Struthio camelus: one gene and its partner. The protein of the gene in region 1 purifies or fractionates together with the protein of each later gene. This does not show direct contact. Links are inferred from orthologs where the notes say so. Each region holds a gene or a part of one and is shown in the gene's direction. Other genes may lie near its edges.

Region 1 (11,016 bases):
CTGGTCAGTTTGCCTTGAATGCTTACTAACACCGGGTCTATATTAGGAATTGTAATATTACTTCCAAAAAAAAAAAAAAGTATTGAAGTATTATGGAAGTGGGGAATTTATGTTAAAGATAAACCTGCATATGATGTATATAACCTGTTTGATTTGCTTGTGACATTAAAAGTAGGCCTGAAAACAAAGAGAGATCTGGTCTATTGTGAAAGAAACACAGGGTTTTTTAAAGCACGTGGGAACTCAGTTTTTAAAGACAGGAGATTTCTTTTTTTTTCCTGAGGTAAAGGGTATTGGCAAAAATACTAGTGAAATGGTAGGCAATGGAGAAAGGATTGGTAGAGAATTCGTTGTCGACCCGGCCTTGGTAAAACAAGGTGTTGGTTTGGTTCTGTTTTCTGAAAAAGGGAGCGTCTTGCCATTTTATTACGGGCCTTGCAATATGTGGTGTCGTTGTTAATAAAAATCCCCATGGGAGGAATCATCTGGCTACATGAGAATTGTGGGTGTCATTTAAAGTGTGTCTCTAGCGCTGGTCTTAGGGGAAGACAATGTGAAAATATGAGATGTAACAGCTCAGAAGCAAGCAAGCCAAAAGAAAGCAACGCAGCACTTATTCGTCTTAACACAATTCCCTTGTCATTTTGAAGCCTTACTCACAATTTTTGTGGACTTTTCTCAGGATTTTTGCAATGCTTGTGATTGGCCACCTTGCAAATTCACTCTCAAAATCCCTGCTAGAGGAACTAACTTTACAAATGGCATTCTTCATAGCGGACTTGAAAGAGCAGCCAGAAGCTGAGTGGACATAAATGGAAAAAAACCCTTCTCTCGTTCCCTGTCCACCGCTGAAGCCCATGGGCAGAAGTGTGTATAGGATGTTTTATTCTCCTGCTTGTACTGTGGATAATCAGAAGTCTCTGTTGGCAACAGTAAAATCGTATTTGACCGCCGAATTAACTTGAAAAAACAGTGCAAGGATGAAAAAGCTGTTGTAAAATAGGTGCTTTCCTTGTTTGTTTGCTTTGTTTCTGTCAGTTGTGCGCTCGGGATCATGCCAAACTTTTAAAACATGGCATGCGCCCTAACTCCAGGAAAATGCATGTGTCGCCTTGCAGGGCAGTGGGTTGCTGGCGGGGGCACCAGCTCGGCCCCCACATCTGTGCCAGTGGCATTGGCTGCACGGGCAGGCCTGCAGTTGCTGACTTAATTTTCCCGGTGTCGCTCACGAGCCTGCTGTCTGGCTTTTTAATAAGCAACTCCACTTGCAAGCATCAGCCTGCAAGCGATTCCAGGAGGAGGAACCCAGTTCTCCCGGACTGATTAGCCCAGTTGGAGAGAGCAGTTGTGCGAGGCTGACCGAGCTAAAACTGTCGTATCGTTCTGGCTTTTCCCGAGGTGCGGCGTATTTAGCGTGCAAGCGTACCTTTCCCCCTTTTGTTTCATTATTATTTACATTTTATAATGCTGCGAGCGTGCTGGTTGATGTGATCGCCATAAAAAATAGCATGCACTGATGATGCTCTAATTCAGAGCCGAAGGCTTCTCCCTTGTTCTGATAGAGCAGATTGCTAAACCCTGTTCACACGCCGAGATAAAAAGCCTTTATCCGGGTCCCCTGGGAGTAATCGCAGGGGAGCTTCGACTGGGGCTGTAACGAGGGAGCGTAGGAATTAGGGAGAAGCTGAACAGCTCGTAGTTTGTTGTCCTGAGCGATCACTAATAACATGATACAGATGGGGCTTTGACCAGACGCTGCTGCTATCGCTGTGTCCCCGGGCAAAAACCGGGACAGGGCCCGGCAGCTGCCCTGCCGGCAGCACGGGGGAGCTGGACCGCGCTCCGAGCTGCAGTTGCAGCGCTGTGTTCCCGTTTTTGGCTTTGTCTCGCCGCTGTTCCTTTTCCTTTAAAAGCGGCAAAAATAACGCACCAATCAAGGGCATTCTGAGGACAGTAAATTGTCTTAATTTGTGCTGCTTGTGCACAGACTGTGTGGAGAATTCAGCAAGAGCCTTTAAGTAAGTGCTCTCTTCCAAAAAGCCCCCAAAACTTGAACTCAGAAAGCCTCTGCACACGACATCAATATTCTCTAGGTATGGGTTCTTCACAATTTCTTTTTGTAAGATTTCTTTAACTCTGTCCTGCTACCGTCTGTAGGCAGATGTAAATAATGTAAAATTTTAAGATGCAGATTTTGATGATTAGATGTCTGTCATCCGCCTACTACCACAGACTGGGAAAAAAATGTGTCTTTTTATAAATCTGCACCCAAAGGTCAGGAAACTTGATTGGATTAATGAGGAAACCAGATCTCTGAAGGTCAAGTCCCATCCCTTTGAACATCTACTTACCAAACACTTGGGTCTCTTCTTACCAAATCCAGTCCAACCGCTCCCAAGTGCCATGGTCATAGCTAAGGAGACGGGTGTTTTTATGCTGCTGAGCAGACAGCACTGGATTTTAATTTGAGATGTGGCCACATCTGCCACAAAATCTCAATTAAAAAAAAAAAAAAGTCCCATTCTCATGTGGTGCTTTCTGTGTTTTCTGTGCGTTAACTGCAGAACTGCTTGTCCTGCGAAATTTCAGGCTTGCTTTCCGAGAGGTGCACGCATCTGACTTATCACCAGTATTTGGCAGGAATGCAGTGAAGATAGGAAGGGGAGGCAGTTGCTCGGTTCTGGGTACAAACACTGCTGGTATCTTGGTCGTGCGAGTGAGGTATTCCTACGGGACATCAAGTATTTTATTTAAATGGGGCCATAGTCCTAGCAAAGGGCTGCCACCTGTCCAGAAATGCTTTCCTATGGATGAGAAACTTCTTTTTGTGCAGAGTTTTGCCCTCTGTCTTTTTAAGAGCTTCATATTGGCATATATCACTGTAGCATTTAGGTGATTTCCATGTCACATTGGTAGCCACAGCGATGCTACCTGATGGACGTCATGATTTCTCTGGTACGTTTCCTTGCTTGGAGATTGGGAACCTGCTAGTGGCCTTTCTGAGCGTTGGTGGTAAAGTCCAAGGTGTGACACAAGTCAGTGGAAAGCGTTATTTTTAGGATAGAAAAGGGGTTTTTTGCCCGTGTTATGGTACTGACATGGCATATCATTGAGCTAGCAGTAGGCTGGAGAAGGCACACTGCTCTGCCCACCAGCTCTGAGTAGGGTTGTGCACCCAATGTACCATCACTAACACGTTCAGCTTAAAATCTCCCATGGTGGGGTTGGGGGGGGGGGTCCATAACCTCCCACGGCAGCCAGGGCCTCGATCTTAAAATAGCCAGGAAGATTTTTCCTATGCTCTAAAGCAAATTTTCTTCGCTGCTAATTAATTGGGTTGCTTCTGCTGCCCGCCGCTGAGAGTACATAGGACCACTGATTGCTGCCGCCGTCACTGTGGCAATCTCTCTCTGTAATCAGGTGCTCCCCAGCGCTGCCCGTGTCTCCATACCCAAGGCAGGGCTAACCCAAAGCTTGGGGGCCTGAACGCTGCTTTTGATAAGTATTTGCTGCAGCATTATCTGTCGATTGGAAAACTGTATTTATACGTACACATACGTGTATATGTATGCACACGCATTATGTATATTTTTAGAACAAATATATTCAGTAGAGTCTGGAAAACGTTAGGTGTAACCTCATGCACGATTATTGTGTGCGCGCACACGTGTATGCAGTGAGCAGACATCCCTGTCTGAGGGTTTCTAAGCAATAGTTTCTAACCGCGGCCAAGGCGTCTCTGCCCGCAGATGGGCAGCGACGGCTCTTCCTGCCACCAGGAGAGGCTGGTTGCAAGGGCTTCGTGACACGAACAGACAGCACTCTGGCTGCACGGAGCAGATCCTTCCCTCTAATTTTGTCCCCCGCACTCAAATAATTGGAATTTCTGTGCTGTATTTAGTTGTTAGGTCTGAGGAGGACGGTGTTGTCTGTTCTAATACGCTACAACATACAAAACGGCATTATTCTGACACCTCTTCCCTTCCTGCCATTAATCAAATGTTTGTTTATCACTTCAAAGGTGTGAAGCGCTCTGTAGGTGTGAGGTATTATTGATCTATTTACTCCGTGCTTTCCACGTGACTGGGATGTTGTGGCGAGGATTTTATTTTTGCTGTTGCAGGTGACAGCCTGCGTGTGTGTGTCAGCCCGAGCGACTGAGTCACAGCCCACCGCCCGGGGCTGGTAACACTTCCTCTTACCATAGGGAATGAGATAACAAGCGTTTCCCCGTAGGTGGAGGGGGACAGCACCTTGGCGAGGCTGAAGTTTCCCACAGAAGAGCTTACCTGCTGGCAGTTCGCATTTATTAAGAAAATACCGAGCGATGGTGACAGGGTAATCTAACTTTCTCTCTAACCCAAACCAGTGAAAAGTAAAATCCATCTCACCGCATCAGTTTTGTTTTCACTGCTGTTTAAATCTATCCTTTCCTTCTGGCAGAGCTCTGCACAGTCATTTAGTACCAGCTTTGGGGGTGGTGTGGTTGTTAGCTCAGTGGTGTATGACCCATTTTTTTCGTAATACCTGCACCTTTACAGCATACATCACACGTTCACTCCTGCGACCTAAATCATCGCCAGAGAAGCGTTGTGTCTGATTTCAGGCGTCCTGCGTAAAGTGCCGTGCCTTCGGAGCAGCTGGCGCTGCCTCGGGCTGCGGGTTGGCTGCTGGGAGAGGATGGGCCGCGCTGTCTAGCTGGCGATTAGTGAGCGAGTGCAGGTAAAAGCACGTTTTTCTGGAGCTGACACTTGGTCTGAATTATTTTGTTAAATTTTAATTGCAAGCTTACGGCACGTGTTTCCTGTTATGATTTCTGAAGAGTTCAGAAGAGGGAGTGTTGTAATGGATGCTTTACCCTCTATAATACTTGCGTTTTCAGAGGCGGCAAGATAATTAATGACGGCAGATTGTTAACTCTCCTTTCCCCCCCCCATCCCCAGATGTGGCTTCACCTGTACTTTTCTTTAGTCTGCTCTTAAGACAGGCATGTTTCTTTATTTCTCTTTTCATCAGTTAATTGGGTTCACTTTCTGCAGCGTTTCAGATGGTAATTAGGTTCATACTTGTGTTGCTTTGCAGAGTGCTTGGTGTAAACAGAAAGAATCAGGCACGGGAGACATAGATAAACTAGCGTTGTAGTAGGTGCGGGAGTTTTATGTTTAAAATTAAAAAGTAATTTGCAAAGCAAGTTGAGGTAAAGTGGATTTAAACATAATGAAATCATCCTTGACAGCAATTTGTTTCAAGTTCTTCTACTATTATGAGTGTAAAGGGATTTTTTTTTTTAATTGCCAGTTTCTGGGTAGAGTATTCAGCATAATTTCTCACAGGTAAGTGAAGCATTAACTCCTTATACATCACTAATTTAGGGAGCAGGGGGAGAAACCGAGAGTTAGGGAGATGCATCTCCACCGTTTCATCATTTGAAAATTCATCAGTGGTTAGCCAGCTTAGAGAAGAAGTCCACCGGATAACTGAGAGCAAATAATTAATTAAATGCGTGAAAATCCAACATGATACCTGACCCAGTAGATATGCCGCGTGTATGAATATCTGTGTCGTTGATGCTTAACAGGATCTGATGAAACTCCAAGTACAAATTGGAAAAAAGTAACAGCATTTAGCTAGTTTGCATCCCTTGTTCACATGAGCCATGAGTTCTGGGTTTTTTGCATTTATATACTTGCGCTGTAGGTGTTGGAAGTGTGGGTGGCCAAAAAAAAGCGGTGGTTACAATAAGATTTTCCATTTATTGCCCTTTGTGTACAACTAAAAATAAGATTCAAATGCTTCACAATTTGTAGAGCAAGCATAATCGTTCTGTTAGCTCTGATGACTGGCTTACATGCAGCTTCATCTCTATCTGGTAAGTCCTGTGCTGAATACTTGTAAATGTGTCTGTGTTGAGATGAAAGACAGAGTTTACTTGCAGTGTTGTCTAGCTATGTTAATTTATCAGCTTTTTCTTATCTAAGAAAAAAAAAGGAGTTAAGCTTAGTCCATAAGTAAGAAGTGGTGATGAAAGAAATTTGGAAACGGAGTTGTTCTGGTATCTGGAAGAAGCGGCTTTAGAGAGGACTCAAAGTTCTTTAAAACCAGCCCTCCAAAATCGCCCTTATGTAACTTGAACTGTTGATCCAGAACTTAATCTTTTGGCCAAAAAAAAAAAAAAAAAAGGAGCGGGGAGGAAATCTGTACAAATCTGCTGAGCATCAAGAAACAAAATTCTCAGTGTTAATTTTTGGCATGCAAAACCTTTTCAGTTTGGTTTTTAGGGTGCCAGTCTTGAAATATGCTGTCTTGGTGGCTTTTCCAGGTAGTCACACCGGTTAGGAATCTGCTAAATTAGTTGAAATATATTGAGCTGCTAAAACGGTTATGACCACATTAATTGGTATGTCTCCTGTGGCCAAGAGAAACATTAAAGAGAAGATGTTGTCAGCATATGCAGGGAAATTCATAACTGTATGGTCTAAGGTTTGGTGCTCTCCCTGCTTCACTCATTAAGTAGTTGTGGCATTTCCAGAGAACGAGCGTGGCTGTGCATTTCAAGCTTCTCGATTTGATGCAATTCTTGTAATGGATGAGTAGAGAGAAGGCATCTCTTCAAGAGCTGCAGAACCGAAGGTACAGACGCTGAAAACTTGTTTTCCGTTGTGCGTCAGCTTGTACTGCACGGCCTTCTTGTCACTCTGTGACCCTTCCAGGTTTTTCCAGGCGTTGTAGTGTGGCAGCAGGGTTCGTTTGTTTGACTGGAGCACGCGGCTAAATAAGACGATAGGTTTTCATTCTGAATAACTCCATGCGGCGCGGAGGATGTGGTATATGGGAGGCACGTAGAGGCACATGCAGTTGTTCCGTGGGAATATTGATGCTGGCTGTGGTGAGTTTTTTATTATGCAATAAGAAATGCCATTAAATTTCCTTAATGCAAACCTCTCCCTCTTCTTAGGAGGAGAACACTGTGAGCGCCGTTACTACCACCTTACTCTTACCGCCTCCTTTATGCCTTTTTGCTTAAATGCGTGTTTCTGTTTTAACATCTGTGCACATGCCTGAGACCAGCTGCTGATAAAAAGTATAAAAGGCAAGAGAGCTAATGCAGTAATCAAGGTTTTAAATATTTCAGGTGGGAATGGGCTAAACTTCAGAAATAATTAGCTTCCATGGTGGTGGTTTCTGCAGGGAATTGCCTTACATCTGTTATAATTATCTGCACGTCTCAATCCTTTAGGTGACCAGATGCTGACAGGCAGTGTAGACATTTTTTTCCTGTGGAATTTTCCCTTTTTGATACAGATGTAGATTTTTTTCCCCCTACTTTCTACTGCTGCGCCTGACGCAGATGAGTTCAAACGTGATTGCTTTGAAGATAACACCAGGAGAGTGTGTGTCATGTGGCAAGCACACTCATGCTCCTTTCACTGTTTCTACACTTTCCAATTGGATGAGACAGTATTTTCTTTTCCGGGGGTATCACCACACAGGCTATTTTTAGAGGTGGCGCACAGGGCACGTTGTACAACTATCGATAAACGCTGCAGTCGTCTTAAATTTTTTCCTTATATGGTGATAACATTTGTGAAGTGTTCACCCTTTCTTTAAGAGGTAGATGGATCTCTTTTTGATTGTTCTTAAGCACTTAAACAGCTGCTGCGTATACAGCGTATGTCTGTGTTTTCTGTACGCTGTTCGAAGTGAAACGTAGGCACCAGATTAGGATTTGTATAAGAGACCGAAGCAATGTGATTGAGGTTTGCAGCTGTAGAGCTCTAGTTCACCTGTTGGATTGCAGAGCGGACTGTCTGTCTGCTCCCTTGGGAAACCCTGAGCTTGGTTTTTAACTTGCCTTTCCTGCAGCACGCAGTCTGCAGTCAGACGTTTTTACAGTTGTCGTAAACTCTTTGTACGGCTCTTAGTTTCGGGCATGCCCAGCTAAAATCAAGGAGAAGCGGCTTCCAGCACATAAAGGCTGCCTTTGACCGGCCAGCTCGGCTATTGTGGCACCCTGCGATGTGCGGGAGCTCCTAGGGAAAAGCAGGAGCTGGGGAGGTAGCGGATGATGTTCAGCCCACGATGCCCTCCCCACGCGCTCACCGGGAATGGGGAATGCTTAGAAACTCAGCGCAGCCTTACAATGCCATCGGATCCTGACATAGCAGTTAATTGTTAGCCTATGCCGTTTATGTGCTGGAGGAGCAGAAATGGCCAGTCGTGGGCTCATTATTGCATTATTCGAATAATACAAAAACATTAGCAATGGAGATTTACTACAATGGTGTATTTTAAGTGCATCTCTGCTCTGCCAGTTTCGCTTCTAATGCACTCAGTTAAGGAATGCTTTGGAGGTTATTGCTAATGGATGAATCTTCCGGAAAATTGGAATTTTCAAATAAGATTGACATTTGGAGTGAGAAATACAAATCTAATGAGAGTATTTCAGCAGAGGTTTGTAATTAGGAATGAATGGAGTAAATTTGTACGCGCAGTCTGCAGAAGGGCACAATGGAAGGTGAAATTGCACACTCTGCAGTGAATGAGGGATGAAAGCCAATGTATCAGTGTCATGGCATGACAGTGTCGAGTATAAATGATACTGTCACTGAGTGCTGCAGAAGGTATCAAGGGAATTCCACTCCAGTAAATTGCATTACTTAGACAGACCTGAAGGCATTGTGCCTGAATGATTGGAGGGAAAAAAGGTTGTCAGCACAAAGCAGAAGATATTATAGAACAACTGGCTGCAGGCTTGGAAATCAGTGTTTTTCTATGTTTACCATGCAAAGCTCCTCAGCTGCTTTTTAAGTTTTTGGTTGGATTACAGATGTATTGATGACGCAACAGTATTTTTCCAGAAGTTGTTCAGAGCAGATACCGTCCTGCAGCATGGATTGAGCATGCACAGCCCCCAGTACTCAGGTAGGAACTGGGACTCCTCCAGACTTGGGTAAAAATCTAGTCACATGTACCTCAGGCAGTGATCCATTTCTTCATTTGGCTGAGGATTTGGTTATGGGATGATTTTAGCAGAGGTGTGTACGGAGGGGTGGGTTGCTACCCCCCATTCTCATTAGCGCTGCTTGGAGGTGATGCATTGCCAGCTGGGAAGCCTGATCTGGGGCTCTATGCCTCCAGCTGGATTGGGATGAGCCACACCAGATGGTGGGACACGAACGTTGTTCTCTCTGATCCCGTTTGAAGGCACTTCAGACAGCATGGCAAGGCTTGTGGTATGGCTCACTAGGAGCGTTACGTCATGGTGATGGTGCAGCAAAAGTCCAAAGACCTCATCCATTTCAGCACAGGTGCATACCTCCAGCTATTTTGCTCTTCATCCACCCTTTCTCAGGTAAAACCCACTGCTAATTCCACCTGTTTTCCTGCAACCGCAGCGATGATGCTGAGTGGAAGAGTTATTTCTCACTCTTTTCTCTGTAGTCACCTGTTGCATCTGTCCTCTCAGGGGCAGTACCTCAGAGGTTGGTGAGAGCTGCTGTTTGGGCTTACCTGCTTTTCTGTCTCTGACCTTACATGCATACAACGCCTTCTAGCTCCTGTCGTTTCATAGCTTCCTTGTAGGTGAGGCAGTTCAGCTCCCGCAGTTCTCCCAAACTGCCCCTTCTTGACAGGCCTCTTAAGATAACAGCAGCTTCTCCCCGAAGACGACATGTTTCATTTCTGCAGCATATGAAAAGCCCCACCTGCCTTGGGGCTTCTAATAACACTTCAGCAGGCTTTGTACTGCTTAAAAACATCTTTTTCCACTTGCCTACGCATGAAAACCATCACTGAATATGCATGCTGTAAATAGTGGTTTGGAAGCATGCTTGATTTCTCCTCTCCAAAACTCTTAGGAGCTTGTAACTTCTGATTCGCAGCATTCACAAAAGGTAGGATGATAGACATGCAGCACAAACAAAAGAGCAGTCATCAGGGTAGGTTTTTTCACCTGTAAATACTGCTTCAAGGTGTGGGAACGTTTGCTGGGTAATATGGCCAAACTGAAGCGCACTTCTTCTGGGAAGTTTGCGGTTCGGAGAAGAACCTTGAAAAAAGTTAATAGGTATTCAAGTTAAATTTGATCCTTTCTTTCTTTATTTCAGTGACATGAAAATATTTGTAGAGTCATTCATCGCCTCATCCAAAGGAGCAGGGCAGAATTCGTTATTAAAAGTAATTCAGTGATTCGGGAATTTGTCTCTTCTAACACTATTTGACTATTTGTGATAATAAACAGTCTAAAGAGCAAGTTTTCCAAATCTGTAAGGGCCCATCTTCCTCTGAATACAGGGCTCCGTCGTTGCCGCCTCTCTCTGTAAACCATAGCAAACCTACAGGCCAGATTAAAAAGGAGTGAGGCACCTGTGGAAAAGAAGGTGCCCCACATGGATTTAGCAATGGAGCAATTTATTAGGGGGCCCTGAACATAGCAAAAAGTGAGTGGGAGGTAGCAAACTGTAATTCGTATGTGGTCTGAGCGTTTCCCACATTAGAACTGGGCTAGAGTGGCGTAACAGGTAGCATTATGTCTTGTCTGTCTGGATAGAAAGTAGAGTTGATATCTAAAGGATATAAGGCTTATCCTGCCTGTGTCCTTAGACCATCATTGCTACAGGAAACCACTGTGACTGGTTAAGCGCCCATTCATAGTGCTTGCAGCTATGCAGGCTGTTTCTTACTGTGTTGATCTGTACATATTTTTAAAAATCTGCCATCATTTGCTTCTCTTGTGGTATCTTAACTCCAGAAAGCTGCCTTTTTGGCACATCCTTTTTTTTTCCTGTTTGGAAAGCAAATGCTTTTTCTAATACTCGGTCTCATTCTAGTGATCATGATCTAGCCACGTCTTGAAAGTACGGCTCTGTGTTGTCATCCATCAATCCATAGAAAAAACATTTGCTCTTGCTTTCTTGGCTACGTGTATGTTGTTGTTTTCCCCTTTCTGCACTGATCCTGCAGCATGAGCACCTGCATGCAGCACCTGTGAAGTCACTGGGGTCACTCAGGTGAGTA
Region 2 (10,509 bases), on another chromosome or scaffold:
TGATCCTGTCTACAAGATGGAAAGCTGCATGCCTTTTGTTGTGTTTTGAGTCCCCGTGAGCCTTGTCTGTAGAAAAGCATAACCCGGCACCCCAGCCTGGCCAGCGCGTTCCAGTGTGGCACTGTCATGGCTTAGTAGCAAATTAATTTACCTTGTTATTTTCGCACTGATGAAACCGGCGCTCGTTCGTCTGCTCTTTCTCTCTCCTTCCGTGTATACACTGTAATGCAGAGAAACCTTCCTCGTGCAGTCACTTCCTAAATGTGATGGACACTATTGTTGTCCAATGGCAGTGCGCAGCACTGGCAGGACTGAGCGGCAGGAGAATTAACTCTATTTGTACCTGAAAGAGGTGCTGGATGGCAATTTGGAAGATGTTATTAATGAGGAGATTGCTGCAAGGTTGGGGCACGTGGTGACTTTCGTTAGCACGACGTTCTGCCAGTCTTTGCCGGCTCTCAACTTGTCGAGGCTTTGCACTTGAGTCTTACTGCGTTAAATGTTCTTGGCTATATTAGGGCAAGCTCTAGCCCTGCTTTGAAAGTATTTCTAAGCCCGAGACGGAAATTCGCTAGCTTTTTTTGCTCGCCTGTCCAGGACAGCGTGCTTTGTCATGTTTTAGCTCATTTCTGTGCCTTTGCCCTTCTTGGCAATCTGTTGCAGCAAGGAGTTTGCAATGACTGTGTGCCTTCTGAAAGAATAAAAATACAGATCAGCTCGATGCACTCGTATTTCCATCAACGTTGAAAAATGATTAACGATGTGGAACGCGACTGCAGAATTTGATATTGAAAATTTCTAGCTGTGTTCGATGTTTGGGAATCGGAGAGAGGACAGCTGGGAGTGCTGGCCCCCGCGGCAGTTAGGGTTTGTGGGATAAGCTCACGCTGATCATTTTTGTAAACATCCAGCTGTGAAGTACTTGAGCAGCGCTAGCACTTTCAATTATCAGGAAGTTTCAGGCTCAGCACCCTGTTGAGATGAACAGGCAGTTTCCACTTCTGTCTGAGCTATTGTTTCAGGCTATCTTCAAACTCGGGCAGAGAGTCTTCCAAGCATGAAGCAAGCACAAAGCAATGCAGCACTGGGTGACTGTGAAGACGAGGAGGGGGGGAGGAGGGAGGCGGTAATGAAAGCAATTACCCTACTGCTAAGCTCTGAAGTGGAGGGACAGATTGCATTGCAAATCCCACTGCTTTGCAATATTACAGGACCCTGAATAGCAATGCTGTTATGTTCCATTATTAGCAATCAGGGAAGATGTCTGACTTAATGGCTGGCACGTGGGATCAGGACCAGTGAAGTCAGGAATCCTGATCCCAGTTCTGCTCCTAGATCTGAGGGTTATTGGTCGCTCTGTGGCTCAGCTTCCCTTTTTGAGGGAGAATGCATCTCCAGGCTAGTGATGCTGAGACCTAATTCTGGTGTAGCTCTGTCACTGTGTTCTATAAGGGCATACTGGAAAGAAGTGCTATATGCTGTGCCTCAGCTGTATCAGAACTGTCTCTAGCATACCTTTCCCCTTCAGCCAGCACCTCCCCAGAAATCCAGGGTTTCTGATGTGACACACAAGTGTACCCTCCTGTATCCTCTGCTCTCCAACCACAGGCTCTCTGCAGCATCTGTCTAGGTTGTTTACCAAACCACTGAAGACTGTCTGATCTCTGTCCAGGCTTCCCCAGAGAGTGCCTCAGAGAGCTGTGTCCTGGCAGCTCTCAAGTTCGGTCTGAAGGTTCCTGAATCTGTTCTTTGCTGCTGGATGCTGGTTCCGATCCATAAGGGAAATGGAAAGCTGGCCAGCTGGGCGAGGGCTGTGTGTAGCTCCTCTAGAACAGTAAACAGTGACTCACCCCCTCCTCTGTGTCTTCTCTCTGTTCGTGTCAAATACATTGCCTTGCATATGCTTCTACTCTCTGATTCACACCATCAGCCTGTCCCTCCCCTCTCTTATTACAAATGAATGACAAGCGTCAGTCTGTCTTTCAGGATGAGCGATGATTGTTAGAGCAGGAAAATGGTCTTTGAATGATGGGAGAGGGATGGTGCTCTGCATACCATGCTGCAATGTGTTGGAAATCCATGTCATGCCTCTGAGGGACAGAGGCACAGAGATCAAGATTTGAGCATCTGTAGTTCCCTTCACCTGTCAGATCTGACGTTATTCTTGGTAAGCATATTCATTTGGCTAGCTTCAGGAGTTGGGAATAACTTGTGGATAAACTAGAAATTTAGGCAACTTACTAAAACAGCTGCTGGGGAATTATACTCCTGCATTTGGGAAAGTCTGAGTAGAATATTCCCTGCATACATGGCTGTGCCGAATTAAGACTTGATGGCTGATATCCTCTCACTGCTTAAAACCGTAGGCTGTGTTTTTACCCTTTAGAAGTCGTTGCTGGCCTGGCTCAAGGTGAGAGTTGCATGTTTTCAGTTTGCTGTACTTGTCTGAGGATGGAAGCTCAATACCAGTAGGGCTGTCTGCCAGATACTTATGTTCTGGCCAGGCTTGTCTTTTGATATAGAATAGATTTTAAAATTTGAGTTCATCCACGGCTGTTGGGTGTTAGAAATGACTTTACAGTAAATCCTTAATGTGTAATGTGCTCTGAGAGCCCTGTAGCATAGAAAATCATTCTGGCATTTCTTTTTTTTTTTTTTTTTTTTAATTGCAAATTTTACGTAAGGTTCTGTCCTGCCTCAGAGCACTGGTCAGATTTTCTTTCCTCTTTCCTCTCGAGGCAAAGGAATTGGGGATCACTAGATGGATTAAGTTGAGACCATCAGACAAGAGGTCAGCCTGAGAACACCAAGTTTTTAGAAAGGTGCTGTGAATGACTTAGGAGTCGTCTTGGAGAGGGTGAGGGCGTTGGCAAGACTATCAGTGGATAACTTTATTGTAGAATTACAAGGGCTCTTTGTGTAACCTACAGTCAAAACATTTGTTTTAAGTACAAGCACAGAGCCGAACTGTGAAAGCCTTTGCCCCTTACTGTTGGTATATTACTACTCACTGTTTTATTTATGTAGCATCCTAAGTGTGTCATACTGCTTACAGAATAAAGATGTAATGCAGTCCTTGTTCCAAAAAGCTTAGCTCCTAATTTTAGACGTGATGCAGCAAATGCAATTAAGAAAAGAAGGGCAGAAATAGGGTAAAGACTAAAAGGGTTCTAGTAATCAAATCAGAGTTAGCGTCCCAGAAGACCCTTGTGTAGCATGTTTAGGGGGCACCGCTGAATATGGCAAGTTTGCAGTATTATTTACTACTTTATCATGGGGTTTTGCCTTCTGTCTGTGGGAAGCGCCCTGCCAATTATATTTACTTCTAGTTGGTAACCGAATAGTCCTAAATAGTACTGACAGAAAGGATTGTACAGCTGAGAGACGGAGTCAACTTTTAAGTAAGCTGACCGAGGCCACGCGGGATTGTCAGCGAGGATTTGCAAGTGGTGGTGTATCAGTTTTGCGTTAAGCTCAGACCACGCCTGCAGGTTCACCTAGTGCAGAGGTAAGCCTCACCCTGGCATTCACGTTTGAGTGAGGAACTTAAGCCCATTTGAAGCATTCCTGCTTGCACTACCAAATTCTGCCCCTAAGAGTGGGGGTGACCCCCATCCCGCTCGCATGTGAAGATGGCCAGACATCGTAATTACTGGTGGTGGCTTAAATTCCTTCCTCGTGTCTGTGCCAGGAAGGGCTCTGGCATCTCGCCCCAATGCAATAGGATTGATCCCAACCCGTTTTAGAGGGAAGCCAGTCTGTTTAGAGCGCTTCGATATGCAAGGAAAGCAATACGTAAAGCACAAGACCCCTGTTAATTCGGGTACCAACCGTGCACTCGTACCAAATGTGAAGGAGTCTGTGTTGTCCGCGGAGGAATGTGCAGTGTAAGGAGATGTTGCTTTGGCGACACAGAGCAACAGGTGACCAGAAGTGGATTCATCACGTGGAGTCGGAGCAGCTTATTAACGCGGCGGCAGCGGCGTTGCTTTGGGTGGCAGGCGAGCCCAGACAGTGACCCCCACCGGAGGGAATCTCAACCCTCGGCACTTGTTTTCCACAATATTTTACGTTTCTTTCCATCTCTGTGCAGCCAAGCGGTCTGTTCAGTTTTTCCATCGGCTGGTGTAGAAAGTGCTTTGAAGACACATTGGGTGAGGATCAAAAGGCTTTTTGTGTAATCAGTGGGTGTGACCGGTCTGTCCTCGGCCTCCCCCTCCTTTTTGACTTTCCTTTTCCGGTTTAACTGCGCGAAGTGCCGCCAGTGGGACTGTAGTGTGCCCCTTTCCTTGTAGGGATGGGGGTGGCGAGGGAGGGGGGATGCCGGGGGAAGGAAGAGTTTCTGATGCTGTGGGAATGTGAGCTCTCAAACTCTGTAAACAGCTGGTGACTCACTGCATAACTATGGCACCAACTGCCTGCAAGGCCCGCGGCGCTGTGCGTGTGTAGGGAGGGGGCTGCAGGCCGTTTCCTTTACGCACTGGCAGCGCTCTGCTCTCCTTAGCTTGCTGGGACCGTTTGGCCAAGACAACGAGCTTTTCCTTCCTCCTTTGTGCTAGTGCGTGCGTTTGTGTGTGCTTCTGGCTTGGAGGTAGGGGCGGGCGGTGAATACCAAGTGTGAAGGGGAAGCAATGGAGAGGAGGACGGTGAAAGGGCAGCGCTGAGATCTGAAAAGGCGCCCGTCTGCGTGCGCTCTCATGGGAGAGCGTTTCTGTCTGCCATCGACTCCAGTGCGAGATACGCAGTTTTGCAGCAGCCAGAGGTCAGAGGTGGCCTCTCCCTTCGGTAACTGAGGATGCTTTCGTGGGCAGGTGGGGGCTGTGCTAACAGCGAGGGACTGGGTTTTGCGCTGGGTGCTCTCCTTCCCTCTGCCAAGCCTGCTCCTGCTGCCGTGGTGGAGGCAAGGGCTCCTGGAAGTGGGCCCAGGGTGGGGTTTGATACTGGAGGAGGGATGGGAAGGACTCTGTGTGATGCTCTAGAAAATGCAGCGCACACCAGTTGCTGTAAGTGGTCCATTCATCACAAAGCATCTTGGCTGGTGTGCTGTGCGGCTGTCCTTGTCCCTCCTCCAGCAGGCATGGAAAGCTGTGCTGTCTCAGGCTTAAAAATAGAGGAGGTGCCTAAATACACACCCTAATATCTAGGATAGTATCTTGTAGCTTCGCATTTATGGGATTTGTTTTTTTTTTCCCCCTCTTTATCCTGATTTTTCTGCAAGTCATATGACAATGAGGTGTCTTGACTGATAAAATTCAAGCGAGAGCAACGCAAGCTGAGCCAGCACCTTTACCCGCATGGCTCTCTGTTGTTCCCACACCCCACCTTTGTCCCCCCCCCCCCCACCCCCCAAGTCCCTCCACCCCTTGTTTGCAGATATGAATGAGTTTGTTTACTCTCTGACGACCTCGTGATGTCTTTGCACAGACATGACCTGAAGTCATTATTGCTTTTGGGCTTCTCTGTTTCCATGGTGACTGTCTCAGGGTTGGCTACTTTCCCAAGGTCACCATGGCAACTATCAGAAGGGAATCATGCTTGGGATGCTTTGGCTGGATTTTTCATGAATGATTAGAATGTGTGACACGATGCAGACGTGGGAATGGGGAGGGTGTGGGGTGGGGTGGGGGGAGAGGACTCCCGCCAGACAGGCTGTGCGCTCTGCAGTGCCACTGGGTGTGCAGCCCTTGAAGCCGCCACGGCTGTGCGTAGGGGGCACCGGCGTGGTGTGGGAGCCAGTGCCTCGCGCCCTCCCTGCAGGGGTAGCCGAGATGCTGGGGGAGCGATAAGCAGAGGCTGTGATGGAGTCACAGCTGCAGTCGTCTCTCTCGTGGTAGGTACCTGACAGACAGCAGCGCTGCCAGGCTCATCCTTGGCACTTCGGTGGGGTGAAGATTTCGGATGGAGGTCTAGGCAGGTAGATTTTCTCCAAAGCGCTGGTCGAAGGGGTGTAGTTGCCAGCTAAGGTGAGAGTGAAGGGCAGCGTCTCGACAGAGGACGGTCTGTCTGTCGGTGGACATGCCTCCACGTCACAAGAAATATCAGGCAGGCTAGCTCTAGCAGCCTGTGGGCTGAGAGGATCATGAAGCAACAGCCTTGGTGTGCTGGGAGAGGCAAACACCTGCCTTGCTTTGTTATCTGGGGGCTTTCGTTTCTGCTGTTCGGGTTTTCTAGTAGCGTCTCTTTTGGGTGGGGATGGCTGTGAAAGCAGGTTACAAACTAGGCAGCTTATTTCTGGGCTGCTGATTCAATTTGAGGCTAGGTTAATAATAATCAAAATAAGAATGAAGGGAGTTGTTGTCTTGTGGCTTTTCAATGCCCTTTATGAGCAGAGGTAAGTCTTAATTCAGTCCCTAATAGACCATTCTGTGTGTCTGGGATTCCTCCAGAAGGAGATGAACAACTGATTGGGCCTGGGAGGCTGAACTCTGCTCTCCCCCTCAGAAGAGGTGGCATGTTGCAAGGTAGTATGCAGTTATTAGCATAACTGTTGTTTACAGGCAGGAGCAAGTACCCTTTTTGCCCTCCCAGTCCCATCTTCCTTGCTTGATCTTGGTGTACTTAAAAACAAAATATTAGATATTTAGCATTAAAAAGCAGGGCACTTGTCAATGCACGTTTCCCCTTCTTTCTGAAGGGGGTAAACTAATCTCTGAATCCTTCCCAGGATTTTAAACAGTTGTGTGATGTTTCTTTCAATGATGCTTTAGAGTTGGGGATTTGGAGTGTGTGTTGGTATCGTTTTCCTACTGTTATCTCTGAGATTATGATAACCTGAAAATCTTGTTTTGTTTTTCAGTTGCAATTTCTGAGCAGTTCTGTCCAGAAGACTGTGCTCAGGTTATGACGACTAATCCCAAACCGAACAAGGCATTAAAGGTAGGGAGAAAGGCTGAGTGGGTGATGCTGGGTGGCAGGGGAAGGTGTCAAGGAACCATATTCCATGTGAAGACTGTCACATGTGTTCCCCCCCCCCCCCCCCCCCCTTTGGAGAGACTCTTGCAAATGGGTGCCAATATAATTTCTCACTATCTACAGGAAAGTTCTTGAGAAGATAGGATAGAGAAATACTGGTGATATCTAGAAAGAAGTCTGGCGAGTATGGGATTGCATCAAGGCTAGAGTATCCCAGTTGTTACCCAAGAGACTTTTGACTATAACAAGTATTGGCAGCATCCTGAAACCAATGCTCCCAGGCCTGAGAGTACGTTACTTTCGCTCTCAGAATTGAGATGAACTGGAGCAAGGAAGTTTCAAGCTGTTTTCTCACAGGTCCGTGGGACAGTAAACATCTGGGACACACCTGCTTTATGGCTGTCCCTGCACACTTTGTTCATGCTTTGTTCAGATTTCTTTCTGGTATCTTGGCTTTTCGTTCTAGGTATTCTGCAATCTCTGAAGAGACAAAAAAAAGATGTCTTAAAGGTTCTAAAAATAATTGTGGCAGCAGAGATCCATAAGAAAAAGGCACAATCCCTTGGGGTCTCTCGCATACAACTTCCCTGGACTGTGCTCCAGAAAACCAAAATCATGTTGTGGTCCTGTAAGGCAAGCAGGGTTGGTTTCGGTCAGTGCTTGGATGAGCATCTTCAACAAAAAGCCACCAGATGTTTAATTAAACCTTGCGTGCAAGTGGCTGTTCTGTTTTTGGGAGTGCCAAGGTGTTCCAGTATATAATGAGCATATGAGGTGTCCCAGCATGATGCTGAGAAAAGGTGTCATTTTTAGGATTCATTTCCATGTCCTGACACAGGAACGCAGGGCATTTCAGTCCGCTTTTATCTCCTTCAAAATCTTACTATTTCCTCTGTCTGTCAGTTCAAACTGGATGCATAAGGCTGATTGCTTTTCCAACTTAAGAGGGTTACCCAAAGCCAGGAGATACAGTGTTCAGGTCCCTGCCGTGTTCTACGCAGCTGTGGCTACGCTCTAGTGGAGCATGTGGTCTGTAAAGTGCTTTGGGGGCTTTTTCCAGGTAGGGGGGTTATGTTGCTGAGGGGTACCCTATCTCCTTTATCCGCCCAGAATAGCTGCTCGTATAGCATTGCTGCTACCCCTGTACTGTTGGTATTTGCAGGTAAAGGAGGAGTCAGGAGAGAATGCCCCAGTGCTGAGTGATGATGAACTCGTGTCAATGTCCGTACGGGAGCTGAACCAGCACCTGAGGGGTCTCACCAAAGAGGAAGTCATCCGCCTGAAGCAGCGGAGACGCACGCTGAAGAACAGGGGCTACGCTGCCAGCTGCCGCATCAAGCGTGTGACTCAGAAGGAGGAGCTAGAGAGGCAGCGGGTTGAGTTGCAGCAAGAGGTGGAGAAGTTGGCCAGAGAAAACAGCAGCATGAAGCTAGAGCTGGACGCCTTGCGCTCCAAGTACGAAGCACTCCAGACCTTTGCTCGTACTGTGGCGCGAGGGCCTATTACCCCGACCAAAGTTGCCACCACCAGTGTCATCACCATCGTGAAATCAGCTGAAATCTCATCCAGTTCTGTGCCGTTTTCAGCAGCATCCTAGTGCCCTCGGTGGGGGAACTAGCAGCCTTTCAGAGGGGAGGGGAAAAGGCTCTTATGCATTGTTCCAGAGTCCTTGGTCACGTCAAGAATTGGCATTTTAACAGTTCTCTTCCAAAAGTGCAAAAAAGGAAAAAAAAATAAAAAGGAAAAAAGAAGAAAAAAAAAAAAAGAAAAAATAATCTACAAAGGGAACTTAACTGGCTGCTTCTCTCTGGACTCGGTGGCTCCATCAACCTCGTGTCCAGGATTTGAGCTCTGTATGCAGTACAAATAGCAAGATCTGCTTCCTCCTTCCCCCTGCCTCCCCAACCCCTTCTAGGCCGTGGGCAGCTTTCCAGCTGGGAGAAGATACCTGAGAAGCCTCTGGAGTCCTTGTGAATGATGCTCAAGAGCCAGGAAACAGCTGGACCATAGAAATCATCATGTGAGATGAATATATGGAAAAGAGTTTCCTTTAGTGGCATTCTACTCCCTGTAAGAAAGGTCTCCCCTCCCCTCCCCTCCCGACTTCCATCTGCTGTTGTGAGGGCAGAGAAATAGGCTTTTTGAAGTGAATTTCATCCTGCCGTGAATGGAGTGGGAGAATAATGGAGACTAATGCTTGGATCTGACCACACCCATTAGGAATAACCTTTTGTTTTCAATCCATTGCTGTTAAAATATGGAAAAATATATATTTTACATATTTTAATACGCCCCATCACCTGTGTGGCCTATGAAGACTACATTGCAGCCTCCTTTATTCCAGACCAAGTTCCCCAATAGCTCCTTCCCTAAGGTGTGCCTGTGAATTGGGTATATTTATGCAGTTTATTTCTTCCGAATGATCCGCAGTCTTGAAGTAGCAGCTTTTTTTTTTTTTTTTTTTTTTCTGGGTTCCCTGAAGCTTAAGGGAAGGAGGCACAGTAAATGCTGTGAAGAGCTGTGTGATGGGGAGGAGAAGGGGAGACAAGGAGGAAAACTGCTGGAAGTATTCTTAGAAGGAGGCAGAACTGACTGCAAGAAGGTAGAACTGTTCTGCTGGGATCAGCACTATGATAAGGGATTTATACAGAGTATTTTAGAAAGATGTTTTTAAAGCACTGAAGTGTAACTAGAGGGCAATGGCATAAAGACAGGAAGAGAGAAGTTGTAGAGCCTCCTCTTTGACAAAAGCATTGGTAGGTAAGCAATGACTATCCCAGCTGGAGAGCCAGGCTCACCAGTCTTTGATGACCAGAGAGGGGCTGTGAGGTGGTTGGATGGGAGTTGTAAGAGCTTTTCCTCTCTGTAGTGTTTCAGGCACTGAAGTTGGGATCCAAAGAGTACAGTGTACAACCCTCAGTGTTCAGACAACCTGTGTGAATGTGACCCTGAAACTTGACACTTTCTCTTGGGCATCTGTGAATTATCCCAAGAGATGCACAGAGGGCAGGATGAAAATCAGTGTGCATAGGGGATGGTAAAATTGGGATCGAGAATTCGTGCATATGGCTCTGAGCAGTGGTTTAGAAGAGGGATTTCTGGCTCAGCAATGGGCAGGAAGTGGGAAGCCAAAAGGAGAGATTCTGCTGTTCTGCAACAGCACTGAAAAGACGAATGTTTCCAGGTCACTGTAAAAATAGCTCTGTTGGTGTTTGTGTGTTTTGTTTTGTTTTTTTTTTCTTTTTGAAGTAGGAAAGAAAAGGGATTGAGAGTTTTGCAGGGCAGGTCAGAAACTTGTGGAATAGACGATGCCTGTTGTCACACAGGTGAGAAGAGAATGAGATTGCTGAAGTTTAAGATGAGAAGAGCTTAGAGGATTTGGGCTCTAGAATAGAAAACAGAGATCACAAAATTCACATTTGTTTTGGACTGAAAGAGAATAATCAAGTTCCACTGTTGTTTTAAAGGATAGTAAACTGGCATCCAAGACCCAGTTTAGTATGTTGTTCAAGGCTTTGTCTTGTCTTGAATGGCATTAAGTTTGCAGAATTTTAGTGAAGGCCTATTTGTCTTTGGAAAAAGTTGTCAGCTTGGCTT

The links.
Region 2: the proteins of BACH2 (region 1) and MAFK purify together in Homo sapiens (co-immunoprecipitation; 3 studies listed by BioGRID and IntAct, with this or other methods). This does not show direct contact. The link is inferred for Struthio camelus from reciprocal best matches to the Homo sapiens genes BACH2 and MAFK.

What each region holds. Positions count from the first base shown.
Region 1 is NC_090944.1:50,517,160-50,528,175, reverse strand, and holds the start of BACH2 (transcription regulator protein BACH2), read left to right. Parts: upstream 1-5,772; 5' UTR 5,773-5,848; coding exon 5,849-5,869; intron 5,870-6,564; exon of another isoform or gene 6,565-6,630; intron 6,631-6,859; exon of another isoform or gene 6,860-6,874; coding exon of another isoform or gene 6,875-6,886; intron 6,887-11,016. UniProt on the Homo sapiens protein: Transcriptional regulator that acts as a repressor or activator. Binds to Maf recognition elements (MARE). Plays an important role in coordinating transcription activation and repression by MAFK.
Region 2 is NC_090956.1:6,854,772-6,865,280, reverse strand, and holds the start of MAFK (transcription factor MafK), read left to right. Parts: upstream 1-4,337; 5' UTR 4,338-4,697; coding exon 4,698-4,785; exon of another isoform or gene 4,786-4,795; coding exon of another isoform or gene 4,796-4,811; intron 4,812-5,592; exon of another isoform or gene 5,593-5,830; intron 5,831-6,796; coding exon 6,797-6,876; intron 6,877-8,074; coding exon 8,075-8,509; 3' UTR 8,510-10,509. UniProt on the Homo sapiens protein: Since they lack a putative transactivation domain, the small Mafs behave as transcriptional repressors when they dimerize among themselves.